3 linked regions of the Callithrix jacchus genome follow. The protein of the gene in region 1 interacts with the protein of each later gene in a biochemical or structural test. Links are inferred from orthologs where the notes say so. Each region holds a gene or a part of one and is shown in the gene's direction. Other genes may lie near its edges.

Region 1 (3,652 bases):
TCTTGGCTCACTACAACCTCCGCCTCCTGGGTTCTAGTGATTCTCCTGCTTCAGCCTCCTGAGTAGCTGGGATGCACCACCACACCCGGCTAATTTTGTATTTTTAGTAGAGATGAGGTTTCTCCATATTGGTCAGGCTGGTCTCACATTCCTAACCTCAGGTGATCCGCCTGTCTCAGCCTCTGAAAGTGCTGGGATTACAGGCATGAGCCACTGCCCAGATACATTTTTCCCTTCTGTCTGGGTAAGCAGGTGGGTCACCCACTATCTAGTGGCTCTGTCTGGGTAAGCAGGTGGGTCACCCACTGTCTAGTGGTTCTGTACTAAAACAGGAACGTTCTATGGATGTGGTGGCTCACCCCTATAATTCTAGCACTATGGGAAGCTGAAACTTGAGCTCAGGAGTTCTAGACCAGCTTGGGCAACATGGTAAAACCCCATCTCTACTAAAAAAATACAAAAAATCTATTCAGGCTTGGTGGCACGCACCTGTAGTCCCACTTACTTGGGGAGCTGAGGCAGGAAGATGGCTTGAAACTGGCAGGTTGAGGCTGCAGTGAGCACAGAGCCACTGCACTCTGGTCTGGGCGACAGAGGGAGACCCTGTCCCAAACAAACAGGAACCATTCTAGATAAATCAGGATGAGTTGGTCATGGTAGAACTGAGGTTTCACTAAGAATAACTGTGTCTTTGGGCAAGTTACTTCACTCGTTTGTGCCTCAGTTTCCTGATTTGTAAAAGGAACACAACAATAACTACTATGATGGGTTTTAGGAGGTCACAGTAATATGTTTTGTGAACAGGCCAGGTATGGTGGCTCACGCATGTAATTCCAGCAATTTGGGAGGCCAAGGCTGGGGGATCATTTGAGGTCGAGATTTCAAGACCAGCCTGGCCAACATGGCGAACACCCACCCGCCACCCCCCCGGTCTCTACAAAAATATAAAAATTATTTGGGTGTGGTGGCAGCTACCTGTAATCGCAGCTACTCAGAAGGCTGAGGGAAGAGAATCACTTGAACCTGGGAGGCAGAGGTTGCAGTGAGCCAGGACCACACCACTGCACTCCAGCCTGGGCAACAGAGTGAGACTCTGTCTCAAAAAATATATATATGGGCCAGGCGTGGTGGCTCACACCTGTAATCCAAGCACTTTGGAGGCCAAGGCGGGCAAATCACCTGAGGTCGAGAGTTCAAGACCAGCCTGACCAACATGGTGAAACCCTGTCTTTAAAAAAAAAAAATATATATATATATATATATATATGAACAGTCCTTAGAATATTGTCATGCCCATAGTGAGTGCTCAGTACGTTTCCTATTACCACGTATAAATTGGGTCACCAGAGTAGGAAAACCTTGGCTGCTGGAGCTTAACAGGTCTGGGTGAATCCTTATTTATTTTATTTATTTTTTATTTTTATTTTTTGAGATGGAGTCTTGCTCTGTCACCCAGACTAGAGTGGCAGTGCGGCGATCTCAGCTCACTACAACCTCTGCCTCCTGAGTTCAAGCGATTCTCAAGCCACAGTCTCCGGAGTACCCGGGATTACAGGTGTCTGCCACCATGCCCAGCTAATTTTTGTATTTTTAATAGACGGGGTTTTACCATGTTGGCCAGGCTGGTCTCGAACCCCTGACCTCAACTGATCTGCCTGCCTCAGCCTTCCAAAGTGCTGGGATTACAGGTGTGAGCCACCACGCCCAGCCCCGCCCCCTTTTAAAATAAAGATCAGTATCCTCCTGACATCCCACATGACCTCTTTGGTGACAAAAGAGCAGCAGCTCTCAGCATCCATGTGGTGTCTTGCAGTGCAGGAATCAAAGTGTTGGGCTTTGGCGTCAGGCAGGACTGGGTTCAGGTCCCAGCTCTGCCATATACTCATTTTATAGTCGGGCAAGTGGAGTAAGCTCTCTCTGTGCCTCAGTTCCCTCATCTGTGAAATGTGTATGAGAGTGCCCACTCCACGGGGATGTTAGGAACAGAGAAGATTTTGCACGTGTGAAGTTCTTGGTGCTGAGGGCACAGTGGTCTGTAAGTGAAGCTGTGGCTCTCAGTGGCAGAAGGAGGTGCCCGATGGCCCTGGCTGAGAACTTTGTGTTGGCTTTTCCCCTTCTACTTCAGGACCAGTTACAGTTGTGGATTCGAGGCAACGTGAGCGCCTGTGCGAGGTCCATCTTCATATTCGATGAAATGGATAAGATGCATGCAGGTCTCATAGATGCCATCAAGCCTTTCCTTGACTACTACGACCTGGTGGATGGGGTCTCCTACCAGAAAGCCATCTTTATATTTCTCAGGTAAGGTCCGGGCTAGGACATGAGGGACGGGCCTCGAGCCTGAGCCTCTGAGCTCTGGGAGAAAACCCCGTCCTTACCCACTGGAACTGTTTTGCAGCAATGCTGGAGCAGAAAGGATCACAGATGTGGCTTTAGATTTCTGGAGGAGTGGAAAGCAGAGGGAAGACATCAAGCTCAAAGACATTGAACACGCCTTATCTGTGTCGGTTTTCAATAACAAAAACAGTGAGTAGGGCTGTCCACCACCAGTCCCATCTGGTTCCTAATCCTGCACCCTAATTGTGAAAGCGTTAGGGTCACCATCACCATCACCTGGGAGCTGGGTAGAAATGTAGATTCTCAGTCCCCTTCCGAGTCAGAACTCACGAGGGGAATCTTTGTTGACAAACTCCAGGTAACTTTAATGAACACTGATGTTTGAAAAGTGCTATTTTATTTTTATTTTTTTGGAGACAGTTTCACTATTGCCCAGACTGGAGTGCAGTGGCAAGATCTCGGCTCACTGAAACCTCCAGCTTCCGTGTTCGAGCAATTCTTGTGCCTCAGTCTCCCTTTTAGCTGGGATTGCAGGTGCACACCACCATGCCCGGCTAATATTTATATTTTTAGTAGAAATGGATTTTGTCATGTTGGCCATGCTGGTCTTGAACTCTTGACCTCAGGTGATCTGCCTGCCTGGGCCTCCCAAAGTGCTGGGATTACAGGCTTGAGCCACTGCGCCCAGTTTATTTTTTGAGACAGGATCTTGTTCTGTCACTCAGGCTGGAGTGCAATGGTGTGATCTCAGCTCACTGGAGTCTTGACATCCTAGGCTCAGCCACCCACGTAAGTGGAACCACAGACTTGTGCCGCCGTCTCTTTTTGTAGAGATGGGGTCTTCCTATGTTGCCCAGGCTGGTCTTGACTTCCTGGACTCAAGTGATCCTCCTGCCTCAGCCTCCCAAAGTGCTGGAATTACAGGCATGGGCTACCACACCTGGCCTGCTATTTTAAGTAATGAGGAAAATTGTTGGTCGTTGAGATCTTGAAGATTAGTTCCCCCCTCCCTTTTTTTCTTTTTGAGATGGAGTTTAGCTCTTGTTGCCCAGGCTGGAGTGCAGTGGTGCTGTCTCAGCTCACTGCAACTTCCACCTCCCAGGTTCAAGTGATTCTTCCACCTCAGACTCCTAAGTAGCTGGTATTACAGGCGCCTGCCACCAGACCTGGCTAATTTTTGTATTTTTAGTAGAAACGTGGTTTTACCGTGTTAGCCAGGCTGGTCTTGAATTCCGGACCTCAGGTTATCTGCCCAATCCGCCCATCTCGGCCTCTCAAAGTGCTGGGATTATAGGTGTGAGCCACCACGCCCAGT
Region 2 (3,752 bases), on another chromosome or scaffold:
TACCTGGAAATGTGACACTGAAATTAAACACAATGAAGTGAATGGAATATAGTATTCTACTTTGTTGAATTAGAAATTGCAGTTAATTATTAAACAGCATCCAAGAGTGTTACCAAATCCTGTCACTTCTGCCAAAAGAGGATGATTGGAAAATGAAGGCATCAAAAGTCATATTACATGAGGAATTATTAATTCAATAAATACTTGAGGTACTATGTAGTAGGCAGTCCCTGTTCTCTGTGCTGGGGATACAGCTGTGTGCAAAATAGACTGAAAGAAAAAAAACGTTTTCTGTCTTCTTAGAGATTATATTCTATGGGAGGAGTCAAGCAAAAATCAAAATAAGTAAAATAGTGTGTTGGTCAGGACTGTTACAGAAAAAAAATGAGGAAAGGGGAAAGGAGTTTTACATGAGTAGATTTCTTCTGTGTTGTCTTGAATTGGCGTGGGTCAGGAATAGGAGTTTTAGACTTACTCGATTTTGCTCCCAACCAATTGTATGTTCTTGGGTAAGTTGCTCACCATCTCTTTATTTTCACATTTATAAAATTAATAGATCATAGCAATAGCTATTTTTTGTTACTGCTGTCATTTAGTAGACACGCTGCATACATCATCTAATTTACTCATAACAATCTTATGAAGTAAACAACGTCCCCATTTGACACACGAGCAAACAGATTAGATTAGGCAACTCTTTTTGAGGACATTCTCCTCTATTCGGTACTGGTTCTCACTGTGTTGGTCCTGAGTTAGGTCATATGGGTCAGGGTGGTCAGACGTCTTGCAGAGTTTCCTGCAATCCTGTCAGATAGCTTGAGAACTCGGGGATCTTTGAAGGTTGGTTGCACACATTTACCGTGCCTATCGCTGGGTAAGACGACCTGGCAGTAGAGGGCGAAGGATGGAGGAGAAGGCGGCAGAAGGCAGGGCACAGAGACTACTACTCCCAGAATTCCACGGGCTCCTTCCCGCGGAAAGTGTCGGTCATATGGGCGGGGACGCTGGACGACATTCGGGCCGCGGCGGCCGCTGGGTGCAGCCGGGCGGTGTGGAGTGGAAAGAGCACTCGAACGGCTCCCCTGATACTAACAGTTCTACGATTTAAAACCCCGCCAGAATTTGTAAGTAAACAAAATGACTGTACAACTTTTCTATGTTTTAGTATTGGAACTGATATACTGAATTTTTCAAAAGAGCTTTCAGAAACGGTCCCTCCCCACCCCCACCTCCCTACTGCCCAAACGATATTTTTATTTTTATTGTTTTTGAGACCGGTACTTGCCCTGTCACCCAGGCTAGAATACGGTGTCGCGATCATAGCTCACTGCAGCCCCGTTCTCCTGGGCTCAAGCGATCCTCCCGCCTCAGCCTCCCGAATAGCTGGGACTACAGGCCCGCAACACCATGCCCCGCTAATTACTTTATTTTTTATTTTTGTAGAGACAAGATCTCACTATATTGCCCAGGCTGGTCTCGAATGCCTGGCTTCAAGTGATTCTCCCGCCTCGGCCTCCCAAAGTGGTGAGATTACAGGCTTGAGCCACCACACCTGGCCTCACTTGAACAGTAAACGAGGTAGGTTGGGGTTATATTTTCGTTTCGGGATAAAAAGAAACAGAATCTTATAAATATTAAACGGGTTAAGATGTGAGTAAATTTTTAGCTTTAAACTTTAAGGTGAGAAGCAGAATTATTGTAGGGTTCGAAATGTAAGTGGGAAATTTTCCTACTAGTGTAGGCGGCGATTACTCCATGCCCGGCAGGCCTAGGATCTCAGCATTCATCAACTTAATCCTGAAAAGATAGTAATTAAAAAAAACATGGTGCTAAAAAGGACAAACTTGTAGTTTTATTAAGACCTCCTACCATTTTGCTTATATATTATGTATGTACCATACTCTCAGTTGTATTTCATACCGGATAAAAAAGTTTGCACCTTTTCCTTCTTTTAACAAAGTTCTTAGTACTCTCTACTTCATGAGTAATGCGTGATTATCAGACTTGATACTGTTACACAGATCCAGAAATGAAGTTACACAGATTAAACATATTGGTTTTGTTTTACCTGTCTTTAGTTTTTAAAACATTTTATTTTGGATCTGTTTGAAAGATCCTTTCTTTGTTTTAAGCTGTGGCAGCTATCCATGTTTTTTGAGTTTTATTTTTTCAGCACAAGATGAGTATAAAGGGGCCAGTGGAAACATTTAATAAAAAAAAAAAAAAGAACTCGAAGTAGAGTAACTATAGATGTTCTTGGAAGCCTTTGTGTGGATTAGAACAGTTTGAAAAACCAACATTTGCTGTGAGAACTGAGTGCCTCTCTTCAGTAATGTTTATTATGCTGAACGTGCAGTCCACAACTTGATTACCTGTTTTTCTGCAGGTTTATTACGTAACCTTGGGTGACTCATTTAAGCACTATTTTATCTAGTTTCTTTCTAATGTAGAGGTAATGTTAGCTTGAGAACTTCAATAATTAACAAAGAATTTAACTTCAGAATTTAGCCAATTATTTGAGGATTATTGGGTATTTTAATAATGCGTTGTATCTTGTATATAACTTATTTTTGCCTAAGAAGTCATTTCTGTATTCCATTCATTTCCATGAACTCAGAAGTCAAAACTGTATTCCAGGAAAATCCACACTTCTTTGAAGTGCTACTTGAATTTCCTGAAGGAAAGTTTGCTTCAAGAAGCCTTGTCTACTTTCTCACTTTGAGGTTGTTCACTAAGCCAACTATGAAGGCACATTAACCTGGAGGTTCTACAACCTCCAAAAAAAAATGGAAAGAATGAAGAATTGGCTGTTTTTATTTACCATTTAGAATTTTAATTGTGTTAAAGTTTCATTAATATTTCTGCATCATATGAACCACTGGATTAAACTGTGTCCCACAAGAAGGAATTTAGTAGGTGATCATACATTATCATAAATTTTGCACAGAAATCAAGCATTTGGGAATAAGAAAGGGCATCCCTAACATCAATAATGAGCATAGACTTTAGAGTCATAGCTGGATTTGAATTCCTGTTTTGTCACTGTGTGGGCTGTTTTCCTCTTTACTAATATTTAAAGGAGTTGGCACATGATTTTTTTGTGTGTGTGCCATGGCTCAGGTATGATCTGTGCACATAATTTTGGTAATTGAAATTTCTGGGAAGAAAATTTATCTGTAATTCTACTACCTCAACAAATCATATTGTTTTGGTTTTTAGAGATTTTTCCTTCAGCCCTTGACCATGAGTATATATCATGTAAATAAATGTAATGACATTTTTGCAAAAAGTCAAATTTTAAAACATTGGTTTCTTCTGGGGTTTTGTTTTAATTACACAAATGAAGCTGCCTGGTTTTGCCTTTAATAGTTCAAATAAGCCAGGTGTTATGTATGGCTCATTCCTGTAATCCCAGCACTTTGGGAGGCTGAGGTTGGTGGATCACTTGAGGTCAGAATTTGAGATCAGCCTGGCCAACATGGTGAAACTCCATCTCTACTAAAAATACAAAAAAGTTAGTTGGGTGTGGTGGTGGGGGCCTGTACTCCCAGCTTCTCGGCAGGCTTGAGGCACAAGAATCATTTGAACCTGGGAGGTGGAGGTTGCAGTGAGCTAAGATAGCACCATTGCACTCCAGTCTGTGCAACAGAGGGAGACCTTCTCAAAAACAAAAGAAAAAACAAAGAAAACCAAGGGCAGAGAAGGGGAGAGAGAGAAAAAAAAAACAACACCAAGTCAGAAGCTGGAGCAGT
Region 3 (3,652 bases), on another chromosome or scaffold:
AGCGATTCTCCTGCCTCAGCCTTTTGAGTAGCTGGGACTATAGGTGTGTGCTGCCATGCCTGACTAATTTTTGTATTTTTAGTAGAGACACGATTTTACTATGTTGGCCAAGATGGTCTCAATCTTTTGACCTTGTGATCCGCCCGCCTCAGCCTCCCAAAGTGTTGGGATTACAGGCGTGAGCTACCGCACCAGGACCAGAGTCTAGCTCTTTAAGAGTCACATAGTGTCATGAACAGTTTTCTCTGTGTTAGTTTTTGTTTTGTTTTTTTAATAAAAAAATGTTGGTGGCCAGTCTAGTGGTTCACGCCTGTAATCCCAGAACTTTGGGAGGCCAAGGCAGGGCGAATCATAAGGTCAGGAGATCAAGACTATCCTGGCCAATATGGTGAAACCCTGACTCCACTAAAATACAAAAAATTAGCTGGGCATGGTGGTGAGTGCCTGTAGTCTCAGCTACTCAGAAGGCTGAGGCAGAGGAATCATTTGAACCCTGGAGGCAGAGATTGCAGTGAGTCAAGATCGCTCCACTCCAGCCTGTCGACAGAACGAGACTCCATCTCAAAAAAAAAAGTTAGCATATATATTTCAGATACTGAGTTACACTTGCCACTATCAAGAGGGAGTATTTTCAGTGGATCTCAAATGTTGACGAGTATTCTACTAATCTTATTAAATGGATTTGAAAGAAATATTTTCAAATTCACCATATAATGTGTTTCTGTAATATTGTCCTTTTTAGTACACAAATTGAGGTTAAGATCAGTAAAGATGAAAGCTGAAAAGAAACAAATTTTTTCAGCTTTGTTGAAGAATTCTAAATCATGTTACTTCTCCATGTATGATCCTTCAGTAATATTTTAACCCAAGTATGCAATACCTGCATTTGGGTACATCTTGCTTTTTTTTTTTTTTTTTTAATGTTTCGGAATAGCCCATGTAAAAATACTGTGTTTATTTGATATGTTTTGCTTGTTTATTTTTTTTCAAGTTCTGTTGCTCTGGAAAACAGTGATGAACATGGACCCGCCAGAACTAGAAGTTTCTTTACCTTTCTTCCTCATTGGGTACACCACTGCCCTAAAGAACTGGTTCATCAGTCCAGTTAGTGAAGTCAGTTATTTTTATTTTTTATTTTTATTTTTTTTTTGAGACAGAGTCTCGCTTTGTCACCCAGGCTGGAGTGCAGTGGCACAATCTCAGCTCACTGCAACCTCCACCTCCCTGGTTCAAGCAATTCTCTGCCTCAACTGAGGAGCTGGTGCCTGCCACCACACCCGGCTAATTTTTTTGTATTTTTAGTAGAGACAGGATTTCACCATCTTGGCCAGGCTGGCTGGTCTTGACCTCTTGACCTTGTGATCCACCTGTCCCGGCCTCCCAAAGTGCTGGGATTACAGGCGTGAGTCATGGCGCCCGGCCTGTAGTCTGTTTTTGAAGAGAGTATAGGGGATTTGGCAAGTCAGAGAATGAGAACATAGTAAACTTATACACACTAGAATATTTGTCAATGTAGAATTTAATGTTTTCTTCATATGTAAAGGTTACATTTTAGAGTAAAAATATACCTGTGAGTGAAGGAAAATTAAACACTTCATGTCTTTTTTGTTGTTGAGATGGAGTCTTGCTCTTTTGCACAGGCTGGAGTGCAGTGGTGCGATCTCAACTGCAACCTCTGCTTCCCAAGTTCAAACCATTCTCCTGCCTCAGCCTCCCGAGTAGCTGGGATTATAGGCATGCGCCACCACACCTGGCTGATTTTTGTATTTTTAGTAGAGACAGGGTTTCACCATGTTGGCCAGGCTGGTCTCGAACTCCTGACCTCAAGTGATCCACCTGCCTCAAGCCTCCCAAAGTGCTGGGATTATAGGCATGAGCCACCATGCCTGGCCAAACACTTCATTTCTTATTCTAGTGTATATCAGACTTATTTCTAAAGCAGCCTAGAAGAAAATGATAGATTCTTAGTGATTTAACAGAAAAAGAATTTTTTTAATGTGTCATTATGTCCATTTTCCTAAACTAGATGCTCTTATGTTTATTCCTGAGCTTTAGCTTTTGATGTTATATATTTAATATTTGATGTATGCTTTTTTCTTCTAGAAGCCACCAGTGTCCAACAGAAGGTCATTTTCTCCGAAGAAGGTATTTTATTTGTAAATGTCATACAATATATATTTGAAGTCTTTTTTTTATATTAGAAGCCATCTTGACAGATACTGAAGAAGTGAGAGCAATGCTGGGCTCTGTGGCACGTGCCTGTAGTCCCAGCTACTAAGGAGGCTGAAGCAGGAGGATCACTTGAGTCCAGGAGTAGTTCTGGGCTATAGAGTGCTATGCTGATCAGGTGTCTGCACTAAGTTTGGCATCAGTATGGTGACTTCCAGGGAGCGGAGGACCACAATGTTGGCTAAGGAGGGATGAATCCGCTCAGGTCAGAAATGGAGCAGGTCAAAACTCCCGTGATAATCATTAGTAAGATTGCACCTGTGCGTAGCCACTGCACTCCAGCCTGGGCAACATAGTGAGATGCCATCTCTTAAAAAAAAAAGTGATAACAGAAAATAATATATTTTTCTTCATGAAAAAAAATTATTGCTTATCTGAACTGTTAACAGGGCAGATAAAATAGGACAGATAGAATGAGTGATAACAGCCTTACATTTTAAGCATCTTTTGTCTATTTGGGTTCATTTTAAATACCCCTCTACCACAAACACACGCACAAACACATCTGAATTTAACTACACACTAATTATGTGTAGTTTTTCTCCCCATAAATTAAAATTTTTCTACTGTTTAATGCTCATCTGTTCATTTTTGACTCTACATTAAAACCTTAGAATATAGTGTTTTAGATATTACTCTGAATATTTATTTAGGAAAGTGTTATGTGCCCCAGAGAACACTAAATGAGCTAAATTTTAGTTCATTTGGAACTTTGGGATTCAAAATAATAAGCATAAAAAACAGCAGTTCTGTATCCGATAACCTAAAAGCCTTCTTTTAATGTTAAATTGTTTGTTTGGTTTTTTTGAATTCAGATATTTTGAGCATTAAAATAAGACTTTATTAGTATATTGTTTACTTCTCTTTAGGAGAAACTGAAGAAGATGATCAAGACAGCTCTCATAGCAGTGTCACTGTTGTTAAGACCAGATCCAGGGATTCTGATAAATCTGGAGGTAACATTGCTTTATACATATATGACTTTTCTTGTAGAAGCTATCTTTGGCATTCCATGAATTTGCTTTTTAAAAAAACTTTCTAATTTTTATTAATACTTTATAAAAAGTCATGAACTTTTAATATTTCTTAAAACTACTGATTTCATGTATACATCTGATTAATAATGTCATGCTTTCTAAACAGATCACTTTTGGCTTTTTTGATATTTGTGGAAAATAAGATATTTTTTGTGCTCACAAGAAGAGTGATTTGTTGTTTTTGAATTTTATAGAGAAACTAATCACATTGCCATTGGGACTGACAACACTGTCTGGAATGTGACTTTGGGAAGTTTTTATTTAATTAAATAACTGTTTTTATCTCTGGATTTTTCAAATTCAAACTAAGTTAGTAATTAACAGGTTCTGATTATTCATGTTAATTTAAGTTTATTCAATTAAAGAGTTGACTAAAGACTAGAGAG

What was found.
Region 2: the proteins of TOR1A (region 1) and torsin-1A-interacting protein 2 form a complex in vitro, tested with the Homo sapiens proteins (4 studies listed by BioGRID and IntAct, with this or other methods). The link is inferred for Callithrix jacchus from reciprocal best matches to the Homo sapiens genes TOR1A and TOR1AIP2.
Region 3: the proteins of TOR1A (region 1) and TOR1AIP1 form a complex in vitro, tested with the Homo sapiens proteins (2 studies listed by BioGRID and IntAct). The link is inferred for Callithrix jacchus from reciprocal best matches to the Homo sapiens genes TOR1A and TOR1AIP1.

Annotation. Positions count from the first base shown.
Region 1 is NC_133502.1:178,412,649-178,416,300, reverse strand, and holds part of TOR1A (torsin-1A), read left to right. Parts: intron 1-2,125; coding exon 2,126-2,301; intron 2,302-2,398; coding exon 2,399-2,526; intron 2,527-3,652. UniProt on the Homo sapiens protein: Protein with chaperone functions important for the control of protein folding, processing, stability and localization as well as for the reduction of misfolded protein aggregates.
Region 2 is NC_133519.1:23,493,195-23,496,946, forward strand, and holds the start of torsin-1A-interacting protein 2, read left to right. Parts: upstream 1-1,013; 5' UTR 1,014-1,124; intron 1,125-1,443; 5' UTR 1,444-1,578; intron 1,579-3,752. UniProt on the Homo sapiens protein: Required for endoplasmic reticulum integrity. Regulates the distribution of TOR1A between the endoplasmic reticulum and the nuclear envelope as well as induces TOR1A, TOR1B and TOR3A ATPase activity.
Region 3 is NC_133519.1:23,476,406-23,480,057, reverse strand, and holds part of TOR1AIP1 (torsin-1A-interacting protein 1), read left to right. Parts: intron 1-2,103; coding exon 2,104-2,145; intron 2,146-3,098; coding exon 3,099-3,185; intron 3,186-3,652. UniProt on the Homo sapiens protein: Required for nuclear membrane integrity. Induces TOR1A and TOR1B ATPase activity and is required for their location on the nuclear membrane. Binds to A- and B-type lamins. Possible role in membrane attachment and assembly of the nuclear lamina.